Xenopus tropicalis: one gene and its partners. The protein of the gene in region 1 purifies or fractionates together with the protein of each later gene. This does not show direct contact. Links are inferred from orthologs where the notes say so. Each region holds a gene or a part of one and is shown on either strand. Other genes may lie near its edges. The genes, in order: stk26, cttnbp2nl, slmap, sike1, fgfr1op2 and cttnbp2.

Evidence for each region.
Region 2: the proteins of stk26 (region 1) and cttnbp2nl purify together in Homo sapiens (affinity purification with mass spectrometry; 4 studies listed by BioGRID and IntAct, with this or other methods). This does not show direct contact. The link is inferred for Xenopus tropicalis from reciprocal best matches to the Homo sapiens genes STK26 and CTTNBP2NL.
Region 3: the proteins of stk26 (region 1) and slmap purify together in Homo sapiens (affinity purification with mass spectrometry; 5 studies listed by BioGRID and IntAct, with this or other methods). This does not show direct contact. The link is inferred for Xenopus tropicalis from reciprocal best matches to the Homo sapiens genes STK26 and SLMAP.
Region 4: the proteins of stk26 (region 1) and sike1 purify together in Homo sapiens (affinity purification with mass spectrometry; 4 studies listed by BioGRID and IntAct, with this or other methods). This does not show direct contact. The link is inferred for Xenopus tropicalis from reciprocal best matches to the Homo sapiens genes STK26 and SIKE1.
Region 5: the proteins of stk26 (region 1) and fgfr1op2 purify together in Homo sapiens (affinity purification with mass spectrometry; 4 studies listed by BioGRID and IntAct, with this or other methods). This does not show direct contact. The link is inferred for Xenopus tropicalis from reciprocal best matches to the Homo sapiens genes STK26 and FGFR1OP2.
Region 6: the proteins of stk26 (region 1) and cttnbp2 purify together in Homo sapiens (affinity purification with mass spectrometry; 4 studies listed by BioGRID and IntAct, with this or other methods). This does not show direct contact. The link is inferred for Xenopus tropicalis from reciprocal best matches to the Homo sapiens genes STK26 and CTTNBP2.

The regions. Positions count from the first base shown.
Region 1 is NC_030684.2:67,411,607-67,415,548, forward strand, and holds the start of stk26 (serine/threonine-protein kinase 26), read left to right. Parts: upstream 1-1,142; 5' UTR 1,143-1,333; coding exon 1,334-1,375; intron 1,376-3,942. UniProt on the Homo sapiens protein: Serine/threonine-protein kinase that acts as a mediator of cell growth. Modulates apoptosis. In association with STK24 negatively regulates Golgi reorientation in polarized cell migration upon RHO activation.
Region 2 is NC_030678.2:60,444,976-60,449,271, forward strand, and holds the start of cttnbp2nl (CTTNBP2 N-terminal-like protein), read left to right. Parts: upstream 1-1,496; 5' UTR 1,497-1,962; intron 1,963-4,296. UniProt on the Homo sapiens protein: Regulates lamellipodial actin dynamics in a CTTN-dependent manner. Associates with core striatin-interacting phosphatase and kinase (STRIPAK) complex to form CTTNBP2NL-STRIPAK complexes.
Region 3 is NC_030680.2:148,084,927-148,089,041, forward strand, and holds the start of slmap (sarcolemmal membrane-associated protein), read left to right. Parts: upstream 1-1,315; 5' UTR 1,316-1,877; coding exon 1,878-2,075; intron 2,076-4,115. UniProt on the Homo sapiens protein: Associates with the striatin-interacting phosphatase and kinase (STRIPAK) core complex, forming the extended (SIKE1:SLMAP)STRIPAK complex.
Region 4 is NC_030678.2:53,677,257-53,681,391, forward strand, and holds the start of sike1 (suppressor of IKBKE 1), read left to right. Parts: upstream 1-1,335; 5' UTR 1,336-1,349; intron 1,350-1,680; exon of another isoform or gene 1,681-1,882; intron 1,883-4,135.
Region 5 is NC_030679.2:2,582,840-2,586,983, forward strand, and holds the start of fgfr1op2 (FGFR1 oncogene partner 2 homolog), read left to right. Parts: upstream 1-1,344; 5' UTR 1,345-1,448; intron 1,449-4,144. UniProt on the Homo sapiens protein: May be involved in wound healing pathway.
Region 6 is NC_030679.2:68,596,453-68,599,952, reverse strand, and holds part of cttnbp2 (cortactin-binding protein 2), read left to right. Parts: intron 1-1,738; coding exon 1,739-1,825; intron 1,826-1,974; coding exon 1,975-2,074; intron 2,075-3,472; coding exon 3,473-3,500. UniProt on the Homo sapiens protein: Regulates the dendritic spine distribution of CTTN/cortactin in hippocampal neurons, and thus controls dendritic spinogenesis and dendritic spine maintenance.

The DNA of each region.
Region 1 (3,942 bases):
AGAGAGACACACAAAAAAACCTTTCATGCTTCAATGGTACTATTATGTAGTGGCTCATTCCTCATAACCCTTTTCTCTACTATCTCTATAATCTTTGTTAGTTGGTATTTAGTGTGTACATCCAGACTGATATCATGGGTAGGGGTCCCACCACCATCACACATGAAGAGGCTATTCAAGTAAAGCAGTAGTGTAAAATATGCAGGAAGGAAAAGCAAATGTGAACAGAATGTAGCAAAATGTTTGTGCCAGTCTTTACAGCAGTAACATGCCACTAGGGGAATTTGTTGACATACTGAATATATTGTGGCCCAAAAATTAGATTGATCTTCTAGTATATTTTTAGCTGGTAAACAGATAACTGTATATTAGCTGCAATCATAAGAAAACAGAGGGAGCTTCTAGGGCTGATTACTCAGGTATGGTAATGCTTTCTGCAGAATAAATATAGTGTTCTAGGTGGCACTAATGTGGTGAATCTGTTGGCAGTAAAATGCCAAAATGACTTTCCTTCTCCTTTAAGCCTCTACAGAACATGCTCCACAAGCTTTACTTAAGTCTTCTTATTCAATAACTGTAAAAGTGTGATACCTAGAGTAATTCTGCACTTTTTAGAACAGTTATTGTAAAAAGTGGAGTCTTCTATAACACATTCGCGCCACCTTTCTTCATAATGAGAAAGTAAAACTTTGTAATATTAGGAGGCTGTAGCCTACAGAACACTTTCTCACAAGCACGGCTATTTATCCTACTTTGAGAAGAGCCAAGGTCACCTATTAAGTAGGATAGTTTAGTCCTAGTATAGGAGCAGAGCCCCATTGAGGCATTGAGGGTTCTGGAAGAATCAGTTCAATACCAAATTAAAGCAGATTCAGTCAGACAGAGATATTGTAAGAGTCACCCTGCATGACTGACATAACAAAATGGAAAGTCTGCGACGGATTTGCCTCGTTATGCAAAGCTTCCCAGCCCTGCCCAGGTAGCATGACATCTTCCTAGTCACCTTTTCACATACTAGCGCTCAATGATCGCTTGGGGCGGGGCCGCCTGACATCACCACAACCCCACGTGACCGGCTTCAGTCAGACTGCGGCTCCACCCTGCGTGGCTTCAGCTGCAGCCTTCAGTCCTCTCCCAATATGGCGCCCCGAGCTTGCTGAGCTTCTACCCAGGCTTTCAGTACTTGGACCTTCACCGAGAAATGGTCACAGTGTCAGGCTGCAGACGGATAGCCACGGATAGCCAGAGCAGTGTTTGAGCAGCAGCGGGCAGCAGCAATCCCCGCTCGCACCCCACCGCCAAGTCGGAGTAGGAGGCCTTGACGCCGCCCGCCATGGCTCACTCCCCGGTAGCCGTGCAAGTCCCAGGGATGCAGGTGAGCTGCCACGCAGAGCATACTAGAGCTGCGAATGAGATTTCTCTGTGGCTTTATTAGCCGGCAAACCTCTTGCCCGTTTCTATGGGGCAAAGTCTTTCCCGCAGGATCTTACGATACCTAAGTCGTACCTAAGCAGGATCTTTAGGAAAGCCTGGGCACTGCCAGTTCTCAAGGGGTTGGCAATACCTGTAGTTATAGCCTAGGCACAAGTAGAAGGGCTAGGGCTGGGAGAATCTGAACTTGAAGCTTAGGCACAGTCGGGGGCTGTGTGTATAACATTGGCACTGTATATCCGGAACTGAGAGGCTGAGTGCCAGTACCATAAAGAATCGAACCTTAGACCAGGGTAGGTTCTGTGTCTATAGTATGGGCCGGCTTGGCTTTTCTACATCCTGACACATACAAAGAGGTAATGTCTGCTACCTTGGATTGCTGTAGTTATTGGCCAGCCGAGTAAAGGTTCCCACACCGTCCCAGAAATTCTGCACTTTACTAATACATGGAACTCGCCTGCTACGTCATTAGATAAGATCAGGGATGTCGCCTGTGTGACCCTTGCGACTAACATTGACCGCTCAACCCCTGTGTCAGATTCAGGCAAATCTGCTGAATAGATTGTGTTTTGCACCTGTATATGGAACTGACATTTCAAAGAGACGATAGAAGAACCCCAAGCCAAGCACAGACGTCATCAGTTCACTCCTGTTTGCATGGGTCTAGACACTGTCTGAAACGGGCATACACTGAGAGCTTATACACAATACTGTAAATATTACTGTACAGTAACACACCTATGCTAAACCAGGGCTGTTATATGCTGCCCGCAAGTTGCCCAGCATCATTTATGAAATGTGTTTGCTTTGAGTGCTAGTTCTTACCCGCGTTTAAAAGTACAGGTATGGGATCCCTTATCCGGAAACCCATTATTCAGAAAGCTTCAAATTACAGAAAGCACGTCTCCCATAGACTCCATTTTAATCAAATAATGCAGAATTTTAGAACTGATTTCCTTTTTTTCTGTAGTAATAAAATAGTACCTTGTAATTGATTCCAACTAAGAAATAAATAATCCTTATTGGATGCAAAACAATCCTATTGAGTTTAATGTTTTATTGACTTTTTAGTAGACTTAAGGTATGGAGATCCAAATTACGGAAAGACCCCTTATCCAGAATACCCTTGGTCTGAGCATTCTGGATAACGGGTCCTATACCTGTATCATATCCATGGCTTGGCCAGAATGCATTTATCAATATGGTCAGGGTGTCTTCCTCATTCTGTAATGTAAGACATCTAAGGCACTTGACTAAATACTATGGGTATGCCAGTATTGCTTGTATGCAATAAATGCTATATTTATTAATGTATACTGTACTAACAAAAAAGAGAAAAGCCCAATCTATGTGGCACACAGGTCATCCCACCAAACACTCCAAAATCTATACCCCTGAGTGTAAATAAACCAGTTATACAGTCACTCAGTGGGCTTCTTGGTGCTTGTGGTGTGGCACTTTAGCAGTACGAAATGTATGACCCTAAGTTGTATTGTCATCTTTTATCATTGTCAGTATTCTAAATTTAATATTTTGCAGTGATGAGCTTGAACTGATCCATTATCAAGTTCTCAACCCCTTTTACTGAGGATAAACATGTTACTCATAGTACCCACTTCATACATCAATGTTGGAATTGCTGTTAGGTTTACAGGTGTGTTCAAGCAATGTTCTTATATGCATTTTACATTACTTCCAAGAACAATATTGTAATGAAGACAATTTAAGTACAGAATCTTGAGTTAGGTGCCATGTTTGTATATTTGGAATTAAAATATACGCTTTAAAAAAGCATGGGCATCAAGAAGCTTTTGGCCCTTAACCAAAGTTTAAAGTGAGGTTAATAGTTTACATAAACTTAATGATCTTTAGTAATATTATTCTTTATATAGCATAAACATGTTGTGCATTCTTTTGAGATCCTGTTTATCATTTTAATTTGTCCTTGCACAAGTGGGGCTTACTCTACCACATGCATATATTTTGGGAAGTTTAGGGGCCCAATATATCTCTGTTGTTTTAATCTCTGTTTTATTTATAACTAATTCACAATAACGTGAAGGCCTTTCTGTGTTAAGTATGTTAAGAGTCCTGCTGGTTCAAATTATGTAGGTACATTGGGGTTTGGGTTGTGTATGGCAACTTGCTCAGCTTCTTTCAAAATAGCTTCTCTCCAGCCTTCTGTATTTTCTGATGATGCAACCTTTGATTTTTTGATTACATGGCTTCTGTGTTTTAGAGTGGGCAGCAGGTAGCAGACAGGGTTGTGGGTTTGGTAGCTTGTCAGAGTGGGGAAAAATGCAGGTCATGTGTGGATCTATCTGAATAGACCCATTCAGGTATCTAATGTATGTGCACTTGTTAACTTTCTTTATACTTGACCTGTTCTCGAGACCTGTGCCTATAATTAAATCAGAATACTTGTTAGTTATTTATTGTCCCACAATTCCATGTTGAAGTTTTCTACCGTTTCATTCCTCAACAACAAGTGAAACTTGTGAAACTTTATAA
Region 2 (4,296 bases), on another chromosome or scaffold:
CGACCCTTTCGTGGTTTGCGTTGGTGACAGTGGCAGCCTTCTTCCGGCCTTTTCCCCAGCACCGGACGTTTGGAGTTCCTCTCCTCCTGCAAAAGATACCTCACCTTCCTCTTCCGCGTGGTTCCTAACAACAACTCCCCCTGCTCCCCTCCATCCCGGAACCTTTTTGGCCGAAGGATCTTCCTCCTGGGCAATTCCACTCCTGCACCAATGGCGTCCATTATCATACCTCCCAACATTTGAAAATCAGAAGGAGGGACAAAAATGTCTGCCACGGCAAAATTTTTTAGGTCATGCCCACTTTATGGCCACGCCCCCCCCCCCAAACAGGCCCATTTTACAAAACCACACCTGAAAAGCATAACATATACAAAGTGCACCAGAAGACAGACACGGTGGCCCCAATCATTTTATGACATATTGTGGCCCTAAGGATTTCATTATGCACTGTGGCACCTGTATTTAATGACAGACTCATGACAGACATTGGTAGCCAGGTGTTATGTTTTGCATTGGCGCTAGAGCAGGGACCCCCTAAAACATTGCTGGTCCTCCCCCAGTGTCCCCCTACTATGGGCTGCTCCCCACTGCAGAATCCACCCAACATCCTCCAGCTCCCCCCAGCATCCTCCCCAACATCCTTCAGCTCCCCCCAACATCCTTCAGCCCCCCCAACATCCTTCATTTCCCCCCAACATCCTTCAGCTCCCCCAACATCCTCCCCAACATCCTTCAGTTTCCCCCAACATCCTTCAGTTCCCCCCAACATCCTTCAGCTCCCCAACATCCTCCCCAACATACTTCAGCCCCCCCAACATCCTCCAGCTCCCCCCAACATCCTCCCCAATATCCTTCAGCTCCCCCCAACATCCTTCAGCCCCCCCAACATCCTCCCCAACATCCTCCAGCTGCCCCTTACCTTCCTCCAGTGTCCTCCCCAGCATCCCCCTGCTCCTACCACCAGCTTCCTCGGCTGCGCCCCAGGGCTCTTCTTCTCATCCTTGTGACGTCACACGCACGTCTCCCCTTAGCGCCGCAGCTTCTGCACTGTGAATGGCTTTTTGTTAAAACTGAAGTGAGCGGTGCAGAAGCTGCGGCGCTAAGGGGAGACATGCGTGTGACGTCACGGGAGCGGAGACCTTTAAAAAGCGGGACAGATCCGCGCCTATCCGGGACAGTGGGACAGGGTGGCAAAATCGGGACTGTCCCGCGTAAAACGGGACAGTTGGGAGGTCTGCATTATTCAAGCGAAAATCACTTCTGCTGACTGATGCCTGCTGCTGATCCAGACTCTGCCAAATCCTCCACGGGCACCGATCCTGAAACAAGAAACAAGTAAGAATGTGGCCTTAACAAACATACATCCCATTACATACCTTGCTCTGCCTAAGTCCCCTCCCCTAGCCCACCCCTCTCTTTCCCTCCACTGCTCATCCTTCTATTGTTCTACCTGGAGCTGGCCGGGGGAGGGAGCAGGCCCTGCCTGAATGACCATATGGCTAAAGGGGGAAGGGGTCCCAGCCTAACTTCATTTCAGCCCTATTTGGGCTTCATTCACACTATTAACCATAATACTATCTGCGGTATAGCGTAAACATTCGCTATTTTTCTTCCAACTAGTTCATCGACTTAAAAGGTATACAGTTCCTTTATACATTAGGAACTAGCTGCCGCAGGGAGGACACATTAGTTTTAGTCACACTGTTCCTCTCCCCTGCCAGTAGCCTCTTTCCAGCCCACAGTCTGGCAGAGACTGTACCGAGCAAGGCTTGGCTGAGTGCAATGAACGCAGCCTATCCCATCAGCAGCCCAATCCCTAAGGGTGACCAGGAGAACCAATCCGCTGCCTGTTTACATGGTGCTCTGAAAAGGAGAGGGCTGTCCTCAATGAATAGAGTTGGGAGGAAACCTTCCTTGCAGTCTGCCTGATTGTGTCCTGTTCTGCAACAAAGGAGGAGAAGTGTAAGTGACAAAATCTTATTTCCACGAGTGTCGGGACGCTTTTGAGTGGGGTTTGGGTGGGCCCGTGGAGTACTAACTGGTTGGAAGGCATCAGGCAGCGTTTTTGTTCCAAGGGGGCCTCTCAAGGCTGCTCTGTACAGCTGTGCTTCAATACCGTGCTGCTGGATGGTGGTGCTCAGACACTGCACATCCTTACACTCTGCATTGGAACTGCTGCTGCTACTTTGTCTTTGTGCTGCTTGTGAGCCTGACTGGGTAGATGAATTTAAAACCAAAACAAAGATGTATTGTTACAAAAATGCAAGTTGGTTTAATTCTTATTTTTCTGATTGGACCGCTGGTGCTTTAAAGCAGAGATTGCTGTTCTATATTGTCATGTTAGGTGCCTGTAACAACTAGCCAACCTGGCCCTCCAACTTGGACTACAGTTCCCAGCAGGCTCATTGAAATCATACTGCATACAATATAGGGCTGCAAACTGCTTTAATACTCAGATGTGTTTGTAAAAATTACTGGATTACATATTATTCTAATGCGTTCGTTCAGAATTATTATTATTTTATTTTACCAAATATTTCCACTGTTTAATGACTTTTCAGAAGTTTGGAGTAAATTACAATGACTTTAAAGTATAGCACCCTCTATAATACATTTTTCTGTCTTAATGTAAATATCAGAAAATGTATCTGCCTGGGCACTAGCTCAAGTTTGCATGCTCTCCCCATGTCTGAGTGAGTTTCTTTGGGTAATCAGATTTCCTGTTACGCTCCAAAATTATACAAGCAGGTTAATGTCAGTTGCATGAGGAGCCAATTAGACTACCTTTATGTATTTAAACTGAGAGAAATCCCACATAGACATGGGATGAACAAAAAGCCTTGAAATCGAATCCTGGACCCCAGCAGGGCAAATATGCAGTATTACCCACTGCAACACCACAGGGCTGATTCACTAAAGTGCGATAAATTTTATCGCACTTTTTTTGCGTTAAAATAGACGCGAAAATTAGCGCGCGATTTACTACAGTATTACCATGTGCGTTAAGTCGCGTATCGCATGCGTTATTTTTTGCGCAACCGCATGCGTTAAATAGCGCGCTGAAAAGAATACAAACGCATGATTCACAATCACTTAGGCGCGCTAAATATCGCATTAGGCTATGCGAAAAATAACACCTACTGGAGGCAGGCGATAATTATAGAAAAGTACAGTAAATGAGCTTTTGGCAATAAAATATGGACTTTGCAATGCTATTTATTCAAGTATGTGTTGGCCCTAGAGTGACGCAGCCTCCAGTTTGCAGGGAAATGGTCATTTTTAATACAGTAATTTTACGAAAGTATTGGCATGTATGGCTAACATGGCGTGCGTTTCTTCACGCGACTATTTATATGCGGCTACAATTGATGAAATGTTTCGCCAGGCGAATTTTTGGACGTGCGACAATTTTTTTCGCGGCAAATTTTTTCATGCGTTTTGCCATTGGCGGATTGTTTTGCGAAACGCATGAAAAAATTCCCCGTGGAAAAATTCGCCGCACGTCCAAAAATTCGCCACGAATCCATGCCTGGCGAAACATTTCATCAATTGTAGCCGCATATAAATAGTCGCGGGCAACAATTTTTTTGCCCGCACGACATTGCAAATTTTTCGCTAAAGATAAGCGGAACAGAGCAGTTACTATTTATAAGCAGCTACTAATTATATGCTACCATTTATATGTGGCGACAATTCATATGCGGCTACTATCTATTTGTGGCGACTATACGCGGGTGTTAATTAGCGCATGTACCGTCAAATACCGAACGAAATTAGTCTTTGCGAGTTAAATAACGCATGCAATATCGCGCGTAAATTAGCGCAAGTATGCTTATAGTGAATCGTGCGATAAGTCGCGAAAATTTAGACGTGATAAAATTTTTAACGCACGCTATAAATAGCGCACGTTTTATCGCACTTTAGTGAATCAGCCCTCATGTGTCAGATGTGATTTCAGAGTGTGCATTTGCATATTTTATGTGCATACTAAACCTTTTTTTATGTAATCTCACACCCAGAAATTGCAATGAACTTTAATAGAAGTCAGTGGCTGTGATTTCTGTTTATGTGTATGAAGTCAGATCTGATTTTCAAGTCTTGTGAAAAACAAAAGTTTTGCCTTTTCATTCATATATGTGAGGTTTCAAACAGCTTTGGACATATGTTAAACTAAATTTAACTGTTAAAGGGATATTGACACTTTTCCACATTTACTAGAAGTGTTCATTTATCCTTTTAATAAACTATCCAGCTGCCTCCCACAAACCCCTGTACCCTTCTTCCTCACTGCGCAAC
Region 3 (4,115 bases), on another chromosome or scaffold:
GCTGGACTCTGTGGTACCGCGGTGCCCGGTTATCGGGAGGATTCTTACCGCTTCTGAATGCGAGACCGGCTTCTCCCCGGGCTTGGCTCCCCCTCCGCTAACGGCTTCCCCCACCTGTCAGAGTTCCCCGCACCGACCGGCTGCCCTCAGCTTGCCCACTTCCGGCTCCTCCTTCCACTCAAGCCTGGGCACCCAGGGCCACCTGCCCACCCCTAGCAGTGCCTCCCCCAGGGTGTGTATCCCTCATACCTGCCCCACAATCACTTCCGGCTGCTCTGCCAGACTCATTTGCCCCAAGGGTGGGCACCTCTAGGGCAGATTCACTGTTTCCTGCCTCCACTCATATCTGCCCTGAGCCTGGCACTGTTACCCCTCCCTGGGTTAGGCACCACTATCTGCCATCTAGCCTGCTTACCTCTGTCAGTTTAACTAGTTCCTGCCCCCAGGTGTCTGATAATTGCCCCCAGAATCACTGTAAGCACAGCCTGCCTTTGCCAGGATTGAAACTGCAAATTTACCCCCAGCTCTTAGTTTAGATACTCAGACTGATACCCCCCCACCCCCTCGTTCTTAGTTTAGATACTCAGACTGATACCCCCCCACCCCCTCGTTCTTAGTTTAGATACTCAGACTGATACCCCCCCCACCCCCTCGTTCTTAGTTTAGGTACTCGGACTGATACCCCCCCCACCCCCTCGTTCTTAGTTTAGATACTCAGACTGATACCCCCCACCCCCAGCTCTTAGTTTAGGTACTCAGTCTGATACCCCCCCCACCCCCAGCTCTTAGTTTAGATACTCAGACTGATACCCCCCACCCCTCGTTCTTCGTTTAGATACTCAGACTGATACCCCCCCACCCCCAGCTCTTAGTTTAGATACTCAGACTGATACCCCCCCCACCCCTCGTTCTTAGTTTAGGTAGTCAGTCTGATACCCCCCCCACCCCTCGTTCTTAGTTTAGGTACTCAGTCTGATACCCCCCCCACCCCCCGTTCTTAGTTTAGATACTCAGTCTGATACCCCCCACCCTCAGTGTTTGGCCCATTAGTCCATACTTGATTACCTTTGATAACTGACTCCCTTTCCATTCGTCAAGCTTACAACTGCCCTAGCCCCAATATTACATACCCCTGCTGATAAATACTGGTAAACGTTATATTACCCCCCCCCTCCCCAAAGCCCGGATACCCATCTCCTTATTAGAGAGAAATCTTCCCTCCCTATGCAGGCACTGGGATAACCCTGTATTGTGGGCATCACTGGGCCTGTTCTACTGAAATCTGCCCCTCTGTTTCTGCCCCTCTGGGAGTCCAGTTGAAACCTTCTGATCTCTGCAGCCCCAGTCCCTGCTGTTTCCATTTAACACTGACATCCTGGGTTTGTTTCATATTCTGTGTACTGGATAACTGTTTTTGGCAGCGTCGGAGTCCTTGGGGGGGGTTTGGACTTGCCATTTGCTTGGCATAGAGTGGTAAAGAATCCCAAGCAGACTGGCACTGTATGACGCTGCTAAGGCTTTACTGGCACTAACGGAACAGTAGCTAACCCTTGGATTGTGCATGACTTGGAAGCAGGCAAGGAAAGCTGTTTTCCATCTGGCATATGTGGCTATCTCTGCTCTTCCTGATGATGGATTAAAAGTACTTTGGAGGGCAAGTTAAACCCAAGGTGTTGGAGGCAGTCTTGCATGGGACCAGTATGGAGCATTGGCCGGGGAACTGGAAGGATTGTTTACAGACTGGTCCACACTCCTTTTAGCCAAATTGTGTTATGAATAGGTGATACGCTCCACAGAAATCTGGTGATCACAGCACAGGGCTGCCTGGACCAGCCTTTGTTCCTAATTAGATTGACCCACTGCCCAAGCTGTCTCAGATGCCTTCAGCCTTGGCAATCTTCACCTGCCGCCCCAATTCCCACCCTTTCCAAGAGCGCCATGTCTACTTGGACGAGCCAGTCAAGATTGGCCGCTCTGTGGCTCGCTGTCGCCCAGCACAGAACAATGCAACCTTTGACTGCAAGGTGCTGTCAAGAAACCACGCACTTGTCTGGTTTGACCACAAGACTGGCAAGGTAATAATCTTCTGGGCTGAGCGCGCTCAGTACACGTTTACCTGATTTCTGTGATCCCCATGATTAGGCGGCCTTATCTCCGGCTTGTTCCAGCAGGAGGGCTGAAGCCGCTCTTTTTGCTCTGAGGCTGAAAGGAACCCATATGGGTTTTGGGGGGTTACGTTTATTTTTGAAAATGGAAAATATGTGCTGTTGCGTTTTGCGCTACAAGCTGACACTTCTGGTATAAATCCCCCTAGTGGTGCTGGTTCCATTGGGGGGAAACGTTGTCCCGGTAAGACACAAGCTGAGTTTCACTGGGTTTTCTTATTTCTCACAAACCTGCGAAACAGGAATAGAGGCAGGGCAACGCGCTCTTGGAGTCTTTTGTGGCACTTTATTTGTCTGTGGGTAATAACTAGTTTGTAAGCACCCTGTAACTAGCCAGCATATGAACCATAATGTCCGCCACTGGCTTTCCGCTGAATACTTGCCCTTTCTCACCAGATGGCATGCTGGGTTATTTATCCCCTATGTAGTAGTTCTCAGTGGTCTTGTGATATAAATTGGTTTGTTTGTATCTGTTACAGATTGAACCACAGGTCTTTGCTGTGAGTCAGCATCGCTCTTTCCCAGACTCGCCTCTCTATGTAATATCTGTAGAGCGGCTACTCCTGTTTTCAGGGTCGGTGTTATAAACAGCCCAATTGGGACCGTTATGGTAGGGCTCCCTACACAAGGTGTTGCCAGCTGGCACAGGGTTCCAGGGTTGGGTGGGCAAATAGTCCCTGCCTCTCACTCTCTCCATGTGACTGATGATGTAACTGGTGCTTATTCCTGCTGGTGAAGAGCCCCCATGGGTGAGGGACCCTATTGGGCCCAACAGGCCTAAGGCCGGCCCTGCCTGTTTTGATCAGAAGGGCATGATGGGACTGAAAGTGAAGGCCGGTTGCCCCTTGCTGAAAGCAGATGGGTGAAATTCCTGCCCCTGCAGAATAGCCAGCTGAACTTGGTCATAAATAGTTTTTTTTTTTTCCCCAGTGCTTTAAAAACAAATATAGATAAGAAATAAAAATATTCGATGGGGCAGTCTACACACGTATGATTCTTTCCTGCTTCATTATGTTGGATTTGTGTCTTTAAATGCATATATTTTGTATCAAATGATACAGCATTTGTTATCTATTTAATCTCATCTTAATGCCAAATAGGGATGTGTTTGCAGATTCCATAAATCAGCCATAGGGCAGGTGTGGTGCTGCAACTCCCAGCATGCTGCAACCTGAGTGCCAAGCAGCATTACACAGTAAATCCCCAGATTCTTTTCTTTTCAATGTAATACACTATTCTGTATCAGTGACCTTCTCTTTTTCTCAGGCTTCAGAACAGCATTGTTTTTAATGATTAACTCTGCCCTCTCCCTGCAACCTGCTCAGGCAATTCTCTGCTTTGGCTCTCTGCAACTGCCTGTATATATACCCGGGTTTGGCATGGCAGTTGGGTTTATTTAGATCTTTTTCTCTTTCAGTTTAAAGACAGGCATTGTGCATCAAAGCTGATCTGTCGCCTCTCAGCTGGTAGATAGATGTGCCCTGGCAGCACAGTTGTTCTCATAATGGTGCCAGCTACTTAATCTAATGGGTCAGTGTAATTTGGCCACCCTTGTAAATAACCCATTGGAACAATATGTCATTGGTACGCCTTTAGGCTGCCTTGAGTTAACTTTTAGTATGATGTAGTGCAGAGATCCCTAATCTTTTATACCCGCGAACCACATTTAAATGGAAATGTGTTGGGGAATAACACAAGCATGAAAAAGGTTCCTGGGGCCAGCAATAAGAGCTATAATTGGCTACTTATTAGCCCCTTTTTGGACTGGCAGCCTACAATAGGCTCTGTTTGGCTGTACACTTGGTTTTTTATGCAGCCAATACTTGCCTCCTTATCAGAAATTCAAAAATAAGCCCCTGCTTTGAGGCCACTGGGAGCAACATCCAAGGGGTTGGTGAGCAACATGTTGCCACTGATTGGGGAAAACTGATGTAGAGAGTAATATTCCGA
Region 4 (4,135 bases), on another chromosome or scaffold:
AATGAATATTGTAAAGGTTTTTGTTTTTTTGTCCCTGACCAAGCTAAAAGCAGGACTCATTAACATAAGCCATGACATCTTTATCCCCTGTATTGATCAATATTGGTATGTTTCATGTATTCACCCTTCTATTGTATAGCACTGTGGAATATGTTGGTGCTTTATCATTCCATTTCTTCAGAACAGTTTAAGCTTATGCACATGGGGCGTTTTGTCCACCACTGCATTTTAAAGGAAAAAAGCTGCAGTCTGCCATTTGAAAGTGTACCTTCCATCTGTCATTACCAGTAATGTATTTTAAAAGGAAAGCTCCGTGACTGATGCGTACCAATAGGTGACAAATTGAGCTACCTGAAAAAAAACTCAAACACTAGTAACACGAAGAGCTGCGAACTCCGTTAAGTTTCACAGGAGTTAACCGTTTAAGCACCCTTCCGCCACAATATGGCAGTCCCCTTATTTTGTTTATTAAAACTGTGCAGTGAGCATTCTGCTCCAAAAAAGAACGTTAACATATACAATAAGCACCTATTGACAGCTGTGGGGCATTGTGCGCATACCCAGTGACATGACCGTGTACCTGCAATAAGCCATGCCCACAATTTTCTGGAATTTCCCCCTTGATCCAGACCCAGACTGAATCTGCTGATTCTGGCAAATATCAGAGGGGCTGCTGTAAAATGCTATTTGGGCCCCTGTGTACTTGAATTGCTGAGACTTACTTTGAATCCCAGTCTGGCTCTGCTCCAAACAGCCATTTCTAGGTTGACAGCTCTGGTCAAAAGTGATAATAAACCTCTCTGGTCCTTATGAGACCTTGATTACCATCACGGTTGCCACCTTTTCTGAAAATACCCTCTTTCCTATATTTTAATCGATATACAGTATACATACAGAGCTGTCAACCCCCCCTATTTGTTCGGGAGTTACTAGATTTTGGTGGCGCGGCACAGGTCTCCCTTCCCTCAGCAGCATTCTCCTCATGGGGCTGGCAATTCCATTCTTTATCACCAGCAAGTATAGGCAGACAGAAGCACTTTCAACGCTACATTAACTCCATAAATGCAAGCCCCCAAGTAACATAGGCCTAAAACCACACTGATTCCAGAAACAATAATATATAGGTCTAGCCGTTTTAAAGCCCTTTATAACATGTTTCTACTATTTCCAAATTGCAAAATTCAGGCACCATCATTCGCATTAGCTTGTAACGCATGCGCATAGCAAACCGGAGAAGCCGGATCCGCACATGCGCAGAACCGCTTCCCCATCCAGGATTACAAGTTCTCGCGATAGAGCCATGTTTGGTTCTTACGTAAAGTGCGTGCTGCGTATGGCGGCGCAATTGGGTGAGTTTATCTGTGTTTTCAGATTTTGCCTCCGCAATTTTGAGTTAACACAATGTATTTGTTACTGACAGACTCTGGTAGTGGGTTTTGTGCTTTGGCGGGTTAAGGGTTGTTTTTTTATCACCTGGACAATTTCCAGGTTGGCAGGTTGAATTCGTCTTCTGTTTTTGCCTTAGGTTGTTAAAATCCATATAGTAATACTTATCCTTCCAGTAACAAGCGGACTTTTGCCTTATATTAACGCACACTTTTTTTCAATTTATCCTTTTTAGCTTCCAGCCCTGCTTGCGTGTACCTGTGCTTGCTTAGACAAAGACCAAGGTCTCAGATTTTATATCTCAAACAATGGTGATGTTTGTGAACTCTCAACCAAACCAGCGTCGTTTTATTGACTTCCAGGCGGGCAATGGTAGTGACAGGGCGGGGCTTGAGGGCACAGTGACCAATAACAGAGCGGGCAGGGCAGCCTTCTACAGCTAAAGAGTTAGGGTGACATCATCTGGATTGTGATGTGTAATGCATGCTTAATAAAGGTAGAGTTGTCCTTCTAAGAACCATAACTCCTTGATTGTCTCTCTCTCCAGGCTGTACTTATTTTGATCTATTTTACCAGCAGCTGTGTGGCAATACTGGTTGATAAACACCACTGAGAAAGTACAAGTTCTACATTCCATTAAAGGGCCCCATTCATTATATTGTATTTATTTGTCTGAAATTAGTAACCTTTAGTGGAGACTGGGCAGTAGTTTGACGATTTAAAGGCAAAACTTTAGTTGGTATTAGATAGGAAAGTGTTTTACCTTCTCAAACAGCAATGTCAGTGTGCTTTATGGCAAAACAATACAGCTAGGATATATATATATAGATAATTAAATTTTGCTTCACAAGTTGTAATGTAATTATGAATAAGGTTTTGGTTGTAGTGGAGGTAGTCATTCAGGTTCCGGTAGGGCTGAGATATCCACATTTGCTGAAAAAAGAAGCTGTTTAGGATACAGTGCTTTTATTAGTACTTAACTGGTGATAAGCAAAGTTCAAATTTCATTCATGACTCTACAGACCTATAAAATAATAACCTTTATCATTCAAAACAGGACTATTCCTGTCAAGAAATATCTTGTTTACAGTTGCCGTACAAATGTATTATAAATGTATAAAAAGTGTTACATTTTGATGTTCATGTTCCTTTAAAGGAGAAGGAAAGTCATTTTGGCATTTTAATGCCAATAGATCAGACACTGGAACGTCATGTTATTCTTTTGATAGAGGACTTAGTGCAGCATTACTTTATGATAAAGATTACTTAGTTTTTACCTTTCCTTCTCCTTTAAGGCTGGTAACACATGGGGTGGATTCTTGGCCTGCCTTCATATTAAAAGAAATATAGTTTTACCCTAATTTTTACTTTTCAAGCCTTTTACAAAAAAAGAGACAAGAAATGCTGTGTTTCTTTTGATAGAGGACTCAGTGCAGCTTTTCTGAGTGTTTATGGCTGTATTTACATAGACCTTTCTGATAAAGCTTACTTAGTTTTTACCTTTCCTTCTCCTTTAAGGCTGGTACCACATGCGGCAGATTCTAGGGCCTGCCTTCATGTTAAAAGAAATATAGTTTTACCCTAATTTGTTCTTTTGAAGCCTAGAAAAAAAATGCTTTCTGGCTTAACTGATCCCAGAAGTTTTATTCCTTTTCAGGCTTATGGGTAACCATGGGTAACAGCTGGCTTGGTACAACTTCTCTGTCAGCCCGGTCTTCACCAACACCTTTTGGAGCCCTAGAACTTTCTGCTGCAGAACTGACACTGCAATTTCATTCATCTTCTCCTAAATTAGCATTTGTTCTATCCTTGAATAGTGAAAAATCTGCTCATTGTTTGCACAAAAGAAACTGGGACCCTCTAATGACTCCACAAAAGAAAGCCCATAAACTAAAGATGACTTTTGCTCAATTTCACCATTGTCTTCTCCTAAATTAGCCATAGTTTTGTCCCTAAACTGTGAAAAATCTGGCCTTTGTTTACAAGACACAATAGAACTCTGAGTATAAAAAACAAAAAAGGTTACTTAAAGGAGACATATTGGATAAATGGGGAGCAACGCTAATTTTGTAGGCAATTATGAATAATATCCGGTGCTGGTTTCACTTTGTGCTAAAAATAAATTCTCTCTGTAAAAATGGCCCCTTTATTGGAGCTCCCTATAGATCCTCTCACTTCTCCCTCCAGTGTGAAATGGAGAGTGGGCGTGTCCTAACGGTCCCTGCCAGATACACAGTAGGAGGGGGAGAGCCAATCACAGCCCTGCACTCACACAAGCACAGACAGGCTTCAGTTCCCTATCAGGTCAGCCTAGCTGCTGATTGGTTCCTATCCTACAGTGCAGGGTACGGAGGGCCGCCGGCTCCCCAGCTCATCCAGAGAATTCAGCCAGCAGGAAGTGGCACAGATGGGCGGGGCTAGTGGGGGTTTTGTGGAATTTCTCAAAAAATCAGTCAGAAACACAACTTTTTAAGCACAATCCTTCTATATCTAGAGGAGTATAATTCCCTGGTACATTCATCATTTTTATAGGATATGTCTCCTTTAATTTTACCTGATCCTAGAGGTTTTGATGGTGGCAGGTACCAAATGTAACCAGAAAGGTGTTGATTTTTGCTTTTTTATTCCCTGGCGCAGGTGTGAGCTCTGAGAAGGGTCAAAAAATTTACTGTAGGTTAAATATTAAGAGGAGAAGCTCTTGCGGTGACCATATTGCCAGAAGTCACTAGTAAACTAAAGTCTTTTTGGA
Region 5 (4,144 bases), on another chromosome or scaffold:
AGGTCCCTATCCCATTCCCATCAGTCCCTGCCCCAGTGAGCTTACAATCTAAGGTCCCTATCACATTCCCATCAGTCCCTGCCCCAGTGAGCTTACAATCTAAGGTCCCTATCCCATTCCCATCAGCCCCTTGCCCCAGTGAGCTTACAATCTAAGGTCCCTATCCCATTCCCATCAGCCCCTGCCCCAGTGAGCTTACAATCTAAGGCCCCTATACCATTCCCATCAGTCCCTGCCCCAGTGAGCTTACAATCTAAGGCCCCATACCATTCCCATCAGCCCCTGCCCCAGTGAGCTTACAATCTAAGGTCCCTATCCCATTCCCATCAGCCCCTGCCCCAGTGAGCTTACAATCTAAGGCCCCTATACCATTCCCATCAGCCCCTGCCCCAGTGAGCTTACAATCTAAGGTCCCTATCCCATTCCCATCAGTCCCTGCCCCAGTGAGCTTACAATCTAAGGTCCCTATCCCATTCCCATCAGTCCCTGCCCCAGTGAGCTTACAATCTAAGGTCCCTATCCCATTCCCATCAGTCCCTGCCCCAGTGAGCTTACAATCTAAGGTCCCCATCACATTCCCCTCAGTCCCAGTGAGCTTACAATTCAATGTAACCAGTTGTACCTATGGAGTGCAGTATATATTTCATATCCATGGTACTTACCCTTTGCCCCCTGGGCTGGGGTGATGCAGGGATGGGGGGAACACAATGGCCGTTACAGACGAGATGCAGGGAGTCTGGATGCACCTGGGGTGTCTCCTTTTCTCACCATTCTGACCTTACAGGGAGAGAGAAGACATGTTGGTGCCGGGGCTACACAAGCAGTAGGGCAGCTCCCACCTCTCATACTATTCAGACTCATGAACTGTAGAACCCCCCCCCCCCCCCACCTTCCATTTCCCTCAAATTCTCTTCCCAGTTCTACTCCCCAAATCCTGCCCCCCCTGCACTCCCGTCCCACAAGTCCTAGGGTGCCCCTGGGTACCCCTGTGTCCTTCCCTACTCACCTCCCGTCACAGGCCTGAGCAGCTCATCGCTACCCCATTAATCGTACGTTTTGCCCTTTCATGCTGTTTGGTCCCTGCCGCTTTCTGTTTTTAGTAGATCTTATCCAGGGGGGCGGGCACTAATCGCCTGGAGATACAGTGATTGGCTAATTTAATAGATGAGCAGGAAGATACTGTGAGCGAATATCCGCTACAAGAGGGCTTTGCGCTGTAGGGAGCCGGACCTCTAGCAGCGAAACGTCTGTGAAATACAGTTTTCCAGTCGGAATTATATTCAGGGCGGCCCTTTGCACCGGAAGTGACGTCCTTGACAGGTTCTCAGAAGGCATGCGCGTAGCGTCACCTGCGGTTTCAGCTGAGTTTGGCTTCACTGACGGGACCAGGGCGGAAACGGAAGGGCTGGGAGCTCTGGGACCGAATCTGCCGCTTGTGGGGTGACAGGGTAAGTACGGGCAATGGCTGGCACCCTCACTCACTGGCACCCTCACTCACTGGCACCCTCACTCACTCACTCACTCACCGGCACCCTCACTCCTACATACACTCACTGACTGACTGGCACCCTCACTCCTACATACACTCACTCACTGACTGGCACCCTCACTCTTACATACACTCACTCACTGACTGGCACCCTCCCTCTTACATACACTCACTGACTGACTGGCACCCTCACTCCTACACTCACTCACTGACTGACTGGCACCCTCCCTCTTACATACACTCACTCACTGACTGGCACCCTCACTCCTACATACACTCACTCACTGACTGGCACCCTCCCTCTTACATACACTCACTCACTGACTGGCACCCTCACTCCTACATACACTCACTCACTGACTGGCACCCTCCCTCTTACATACACTCACTCACTGACTGGCACCCTCACTCCTACATACACTCACTCACTGACTGGCACCCTCACTCCTACATACACTCACTGACTGACTGGCACCCTCACTCCTACATACACTCACTCACTGACTGGCACCCTCCCTCTTACATACACTCACTCACTGACTGGCACCCTCCCTCTTACATACACTCACTCACTGACTGGCACCCTCACTCCTACATACACTCACTCACTGACTGGCACCCTCCCTCTTACATACACTCACTGACTGACTGGCACCCTCACTCCTACATACACTCACTGACTGACTGGCACCCTCCCTCTTACATACACTCACTGACTGACTGGCACCCTCACTCCTACATACACTCACTGACTGACTGGCACCCTCACTCACTGACTGGCACCCTCCCTCTTACATACACTCACTCACTGACTGGCACCCTCCCTCTTACATACACTCACTGACTGACTGGCACCCTCACTCCTACATACACTCACTCACTGACTGGCACCCTCACTCCTACATACACTCACTGACTGACTGGCACCCTCACTCCTACATACACTCACTCACTGACTGGCACCCTCACTCCTACATACACTCACTGACTGACTGGCACCCTCACTCCTACATACACTCACTGACTGACTGGCACCCTCACTCCTACATACACTCACTGACTGACTGGCACCCTCACTCCTACATACACTCACTGACTGACTGGCACCCTCACTCCTACATACACTCACTCACTGACTGGCACCCTCACTCCTACATACACTCACTCACTGACTGGTACCCTCACTCCTACATACACTCACTCACTGACTGGCACCCTCACTCCTACATACACTCACTCACTGACTGGCACCCTCACTCCTACATACACTCACTCACTGACTGGCACCCTCACTCCTACATACACTCACTCACTGACTGGCACCCTCACTCCTACATACACTCACTGACTGACTGGCACCCTCACTCCTACATACACTCACTGACTGACTGGCACCCTCACTCCTACATACACTCACTCACTGACTGGCACCCTCACTCCTACATACACTCACTGACTGACTGGCACCCTCACTCCTACATACACTCACTGACTGACTGGCACCCTCACTCCTACATACACTCACTGACTGACTGGCACCCTCACTCACTCACTGGGCACCCTCACTCTTACATACACTCACTCACTGACTGGCACCCTCCCTCTTACATACACTCACTCACTGACTGGCACCCTCACTCTTACATACACTCACTCACTGACTGGCACCCTCACTCCTACATACACTCACTGACTGACTGGCACCCTCCCTCTTACATACACTCACTGACTGACTGGCACCCTCACTCCTACATACACTCACTCACTGACTGACTGGCACCCTCACTCCTACATACACTCACTGACTGACTGGCACCCTCACTCCTACATACACTCACTGACTGACTGGCACCCTCACTCCTACATACACTCACTGACTGACTGGCACCCTCACTCACTCACTGGCACCCTCACTCTTACATACACTCACTCACTGACTGGCACCCTCCCTCTTACATACACTCACTGACTGACTGGCACCCTCACTCTTACATACACTCACTCACTGACTGGCACCCTCACTCCTACATACACTCACTGACTGACTGGCACCCTCCCTCTTACATACACTCACTGACTGACTGGCACCCTCACTCCTACATACACTCACTGACTGACTGGCACCCTCCCTCTTACATACACTCACTCACTGACTGGCACCCTCACTCCTACATACACTCACTGACTGACTGGCACCCTCACTCACTCACTGGCACCCTCACTCTTACATACACTCACTCACTGACTGGCACCCTCCCTCTTACATACACTCACTCACTGACTGGCACCCTCACTCTTACATACACTCACTGACTGACTGGCACCCTCACTCCTACATACACTCACTGACTGACTGGCACCCTCACTCTTACATACACTCACTGACTGACTGGCACCCTCCCTCTTACATACACTCACTGACTGACTGGCACCCTCCCTCTTACATACACTCACTCACTGACTGGCACCCTCACTCCTACATACACTCACTCACTGACTGGCACCCTCCCTCTTACATACGCTCACTCACTGACTGGCACCCTCACTCCTACATACACTCACTGACTGACTGGCACCCTCACTCCTACATACACTCACTGACTGACTGGCACCCTCACTCTTACATACACTCACTCACTGACTGGCACCCTCACT
Region 6 (3,500 bases), on another chromosome or scaffold:
ATGTTCCAGGTTTCCATTTTGTAAATGGTCATCTAGTTGGTGTGCTTCATTTGTAGGCTGTTAATTTTCCCAGGCTCTGATTACTAAAGCCTCGCATTCTGAAGTGTCTTAGTAATAATATACTAATTGTAACAATGGGATCATTTTATCTTCTATTTTTCTTTACCTCTGAAAGAATTGGATAGGGAAAAGGCAAACTTGTTTCCCCAGTCTTTAGTGATAAAACTGTTGGATGGGATTTCACAACACAGATCTAGTTACCCCTACTGAGTCCTCCCACCTCAGGCTTTGCAGCAAAGTGGGGTGCAAAGACATCTCACATGGTGCCTCCAATTGTCTAAAACTAGGCCACCTGACACCCCTGGCCAATTACAAAACTGCCAGAGAAACTTTAACTTTGAAAGTAAAAAATTAAACATTGTGGCTTTGTACAAGTGAAAAATTGCACATTTTCTTATGTTCAGCACCACTGCTGTAGAACACGTTAAACATGCAAAATAGCTGCCTGTTATGTTTAGATCTGATGGCTTTTTCTGCCACCTTGTGTTTGATTTTTGAAATAGCAGTTTTAGTGTTATTACTTCAGTGGAAGAAATAATCATATTCAATCATTCCTTGTTTAGACTATATTTAAGACAAGTTGTAAATCAAGCAACCATAAAACATTGTTTTTAAAAAGCTTCCCTATCATAGAATAGTATTTTAGTAGCATTTTAACTACTGCCCACAGTGATTTTATCCCTGTTTGCTAATGTTACTCACATTGTGGTGTCAGAAGAGAGAAGCAATTAACCTAGTTCCAGAAACCCTTGTTATATTTACCTAATGCAGCTACTTAATGTACATAGTAAAATCAGATATTTTGTGCTCTTTGAAACATTTGGCTTCTATATATCCAAATATAACTTTAAAATGTCCTTATATTGGATAAAACTGATCTCATATGGCAAATACACAATACGTTTTACTTTATCAGTTCTCAGTCCATAAAAAATAAGCCAAGAATGTATAGCCATATGTGAGAATGTCCAGACTTCCATAGCCATTAAGGCAAGTAAGCAGAAATACACAAACTCTCATTAAACTCTAATTGTTAGCCCAGGTGTTGGGAAACTTAATGGTCTACAAATAGTATTTCCATACTAGAAGTGTGTGTCTGCTATACTGCTGTAAAAGCAACAGTATGGAAATTAGCATGGGGGGAGCATTATGTAGAAAGGTCACACAGCATAGTCAAAATCACTAATCACAAACTCTTCAAACTTTTGTGGGTTGTTTCCTAGCCTTATTTCATACCTACTTTCTAAAACAACCTTCTCTTGTGGGCTAATTGATACTATGGGTAAATTAATTATTGAAGCTGTAGCAAGAGCTCAGGGACCTAGTAGGAAGTATTCCCTTCATAACAATTTGATATTCTGTTTAATTTCACTGTAAAGGGCTTATATTTTTTTTATAGCTCTATTTCCCATTTCTATGTATATGTTATTATGGTAATGTATAAAAATATACAGTAAAAAATAATTCCAATGAACCAGGTATAAAATGATAATGTATTTATTTACATAGTATGGTGTGCTTTACAAGTGATATAGGTATTATAGGAGTTTCAGTTCACAGTTGGGATGATGTCCCTGTCTGAAGAGCTACAGTCTCTTAGTATAGTTTATTTCATGTTTCTAACTTTACAACCAAACGAGAGTAACAAATATATTCTTCTTTTAAATGTTTTCATTAGGTTGAACAGTATCACAATGTGATCTTTCAAGGCCCGGAAGGAAGCTTGCAGGAGTACATAGTACAGCAGCTGGCATATTACATAAAGGTAGGAAATCGTATTTACAACTAGAAAAGTCATCCTCTCTTGTTGCTGAATTGCACCTCCCCCTCTGTTAATGCTGAAATGAGGTTGTTTGTCTAGAAATTATATATTCGCAAATACATTATCATTCTTGTCTGTGTTTTTCTTAACAGCAAAAAGAAGAGGCTTCTGGATTCAGATGTGATATAGTGAAAGTGGAGGTAGACCCTGAATTAACCAAAGAACAGCTTGTGAGCATATGCATCAATTCAGGTGACAAAAGTGTGAAATAACTAGAATTTCAGCTAGATTTTGGCCAGGCAAATATAATATGTTTAACAAGTGTCATTAATGCCAACCGAGAGTGGACTAACGGGGAAAGTAGTCTTATTCATTGATACCAGGTGTTGGGAAAATGCTGTCTGGTATCTGCTGTTTTATAATCCTCTGCCATATACCTGAATAAAACAGCCCCTTACAAACCAGACAGATGTCTATAGTTCCTTTTGTATGAAGTTCTGCCATCTTTAACTAAACATTCCTTGGTGTATATTATAGGTAATTTTTAGGAATATTATAGGTAATTTCTTATAAAGTATCTCCAAAAAAAGGAACCAGTCACGTTCATTAAAGGAACAGTAACATCAAAAAATTCAAGTGTTTTAAAGTAATTAAAATATAATGTGCTTTTGCTCTGCAAAAAATGGTGTTTTTGCTACAGAAAAGCTACTATATAAATAAGCTGCTGTGTAGCCACGGGGGCAGCCATTCAAGCTGGAAAAAAGGAGAAAAGGCACAGGTTACATAGCAGATAACTAGTAGATAAGCCCCATATAATGAGGGTTTATCTGTTATCTGCTAAGTAACCTGTGCCTTTTCTCCTTTAAATGGCTGCCCCCATGGCTACACAGCAGCTTACTTATATAAACTATAGTAGTGTTTCTGAGGCAAACATACCAGTTGTAGCAATGCAGGGCAACAGTACATTATATTGTAATTACTTTTATACACTTTCATTTTTTGGTGTTACTGTTCCTTTAACCTGCTTTTCATAGTTTTTCTAACTTCAACGATATGGCTGCCTGTAATGAGAGTGCCTTATCTTTTCTTAGGGGACCTAAGTAATCTACTTTGGCTATAAACCAGTTTTTGGTAACACTTATCCATCTAATTCTGCATACTGGTTTCTATTTTATAAAAAAAAAAAAGCTAGTTTTATCATTATTTTATCACATGAAGCCACCCTAAAAGGTATTAGAACACATTTTTGGTTCCAAACTATATAGGATAAAAATGTTTTATCAGGAAGACTATAGAAAACCTGTTTTGCATTTATGGAGAAGAATTGTCAATATTCTCTGGCTTTGTGCAATTACCCATTACTTCATGGCATCTGTGAGTTTCTCTGCCTGATACTGGATTTTTGATTCACTTCAGATATTTAAGTAATAAGTTTACTCTATTTCCTGTTTGTCAGTGGGCCAAATTTAGGCACAAAATACATTTGTAAGTAAAAAGTGGCATACCAAGCAGTTGAAGTTTAGTCTTATTTCTACAACAGAATTTTAACAAAGTAATACCATAATTAACATAATATCATTATTGCTTGTAAATGATTTTTTATAGTGAGCACTCTTCTGATATAATGGTCTCTGGCTATTTGTGTTTCAGGTTGCTTGATCCCTGTTACTGATCCACC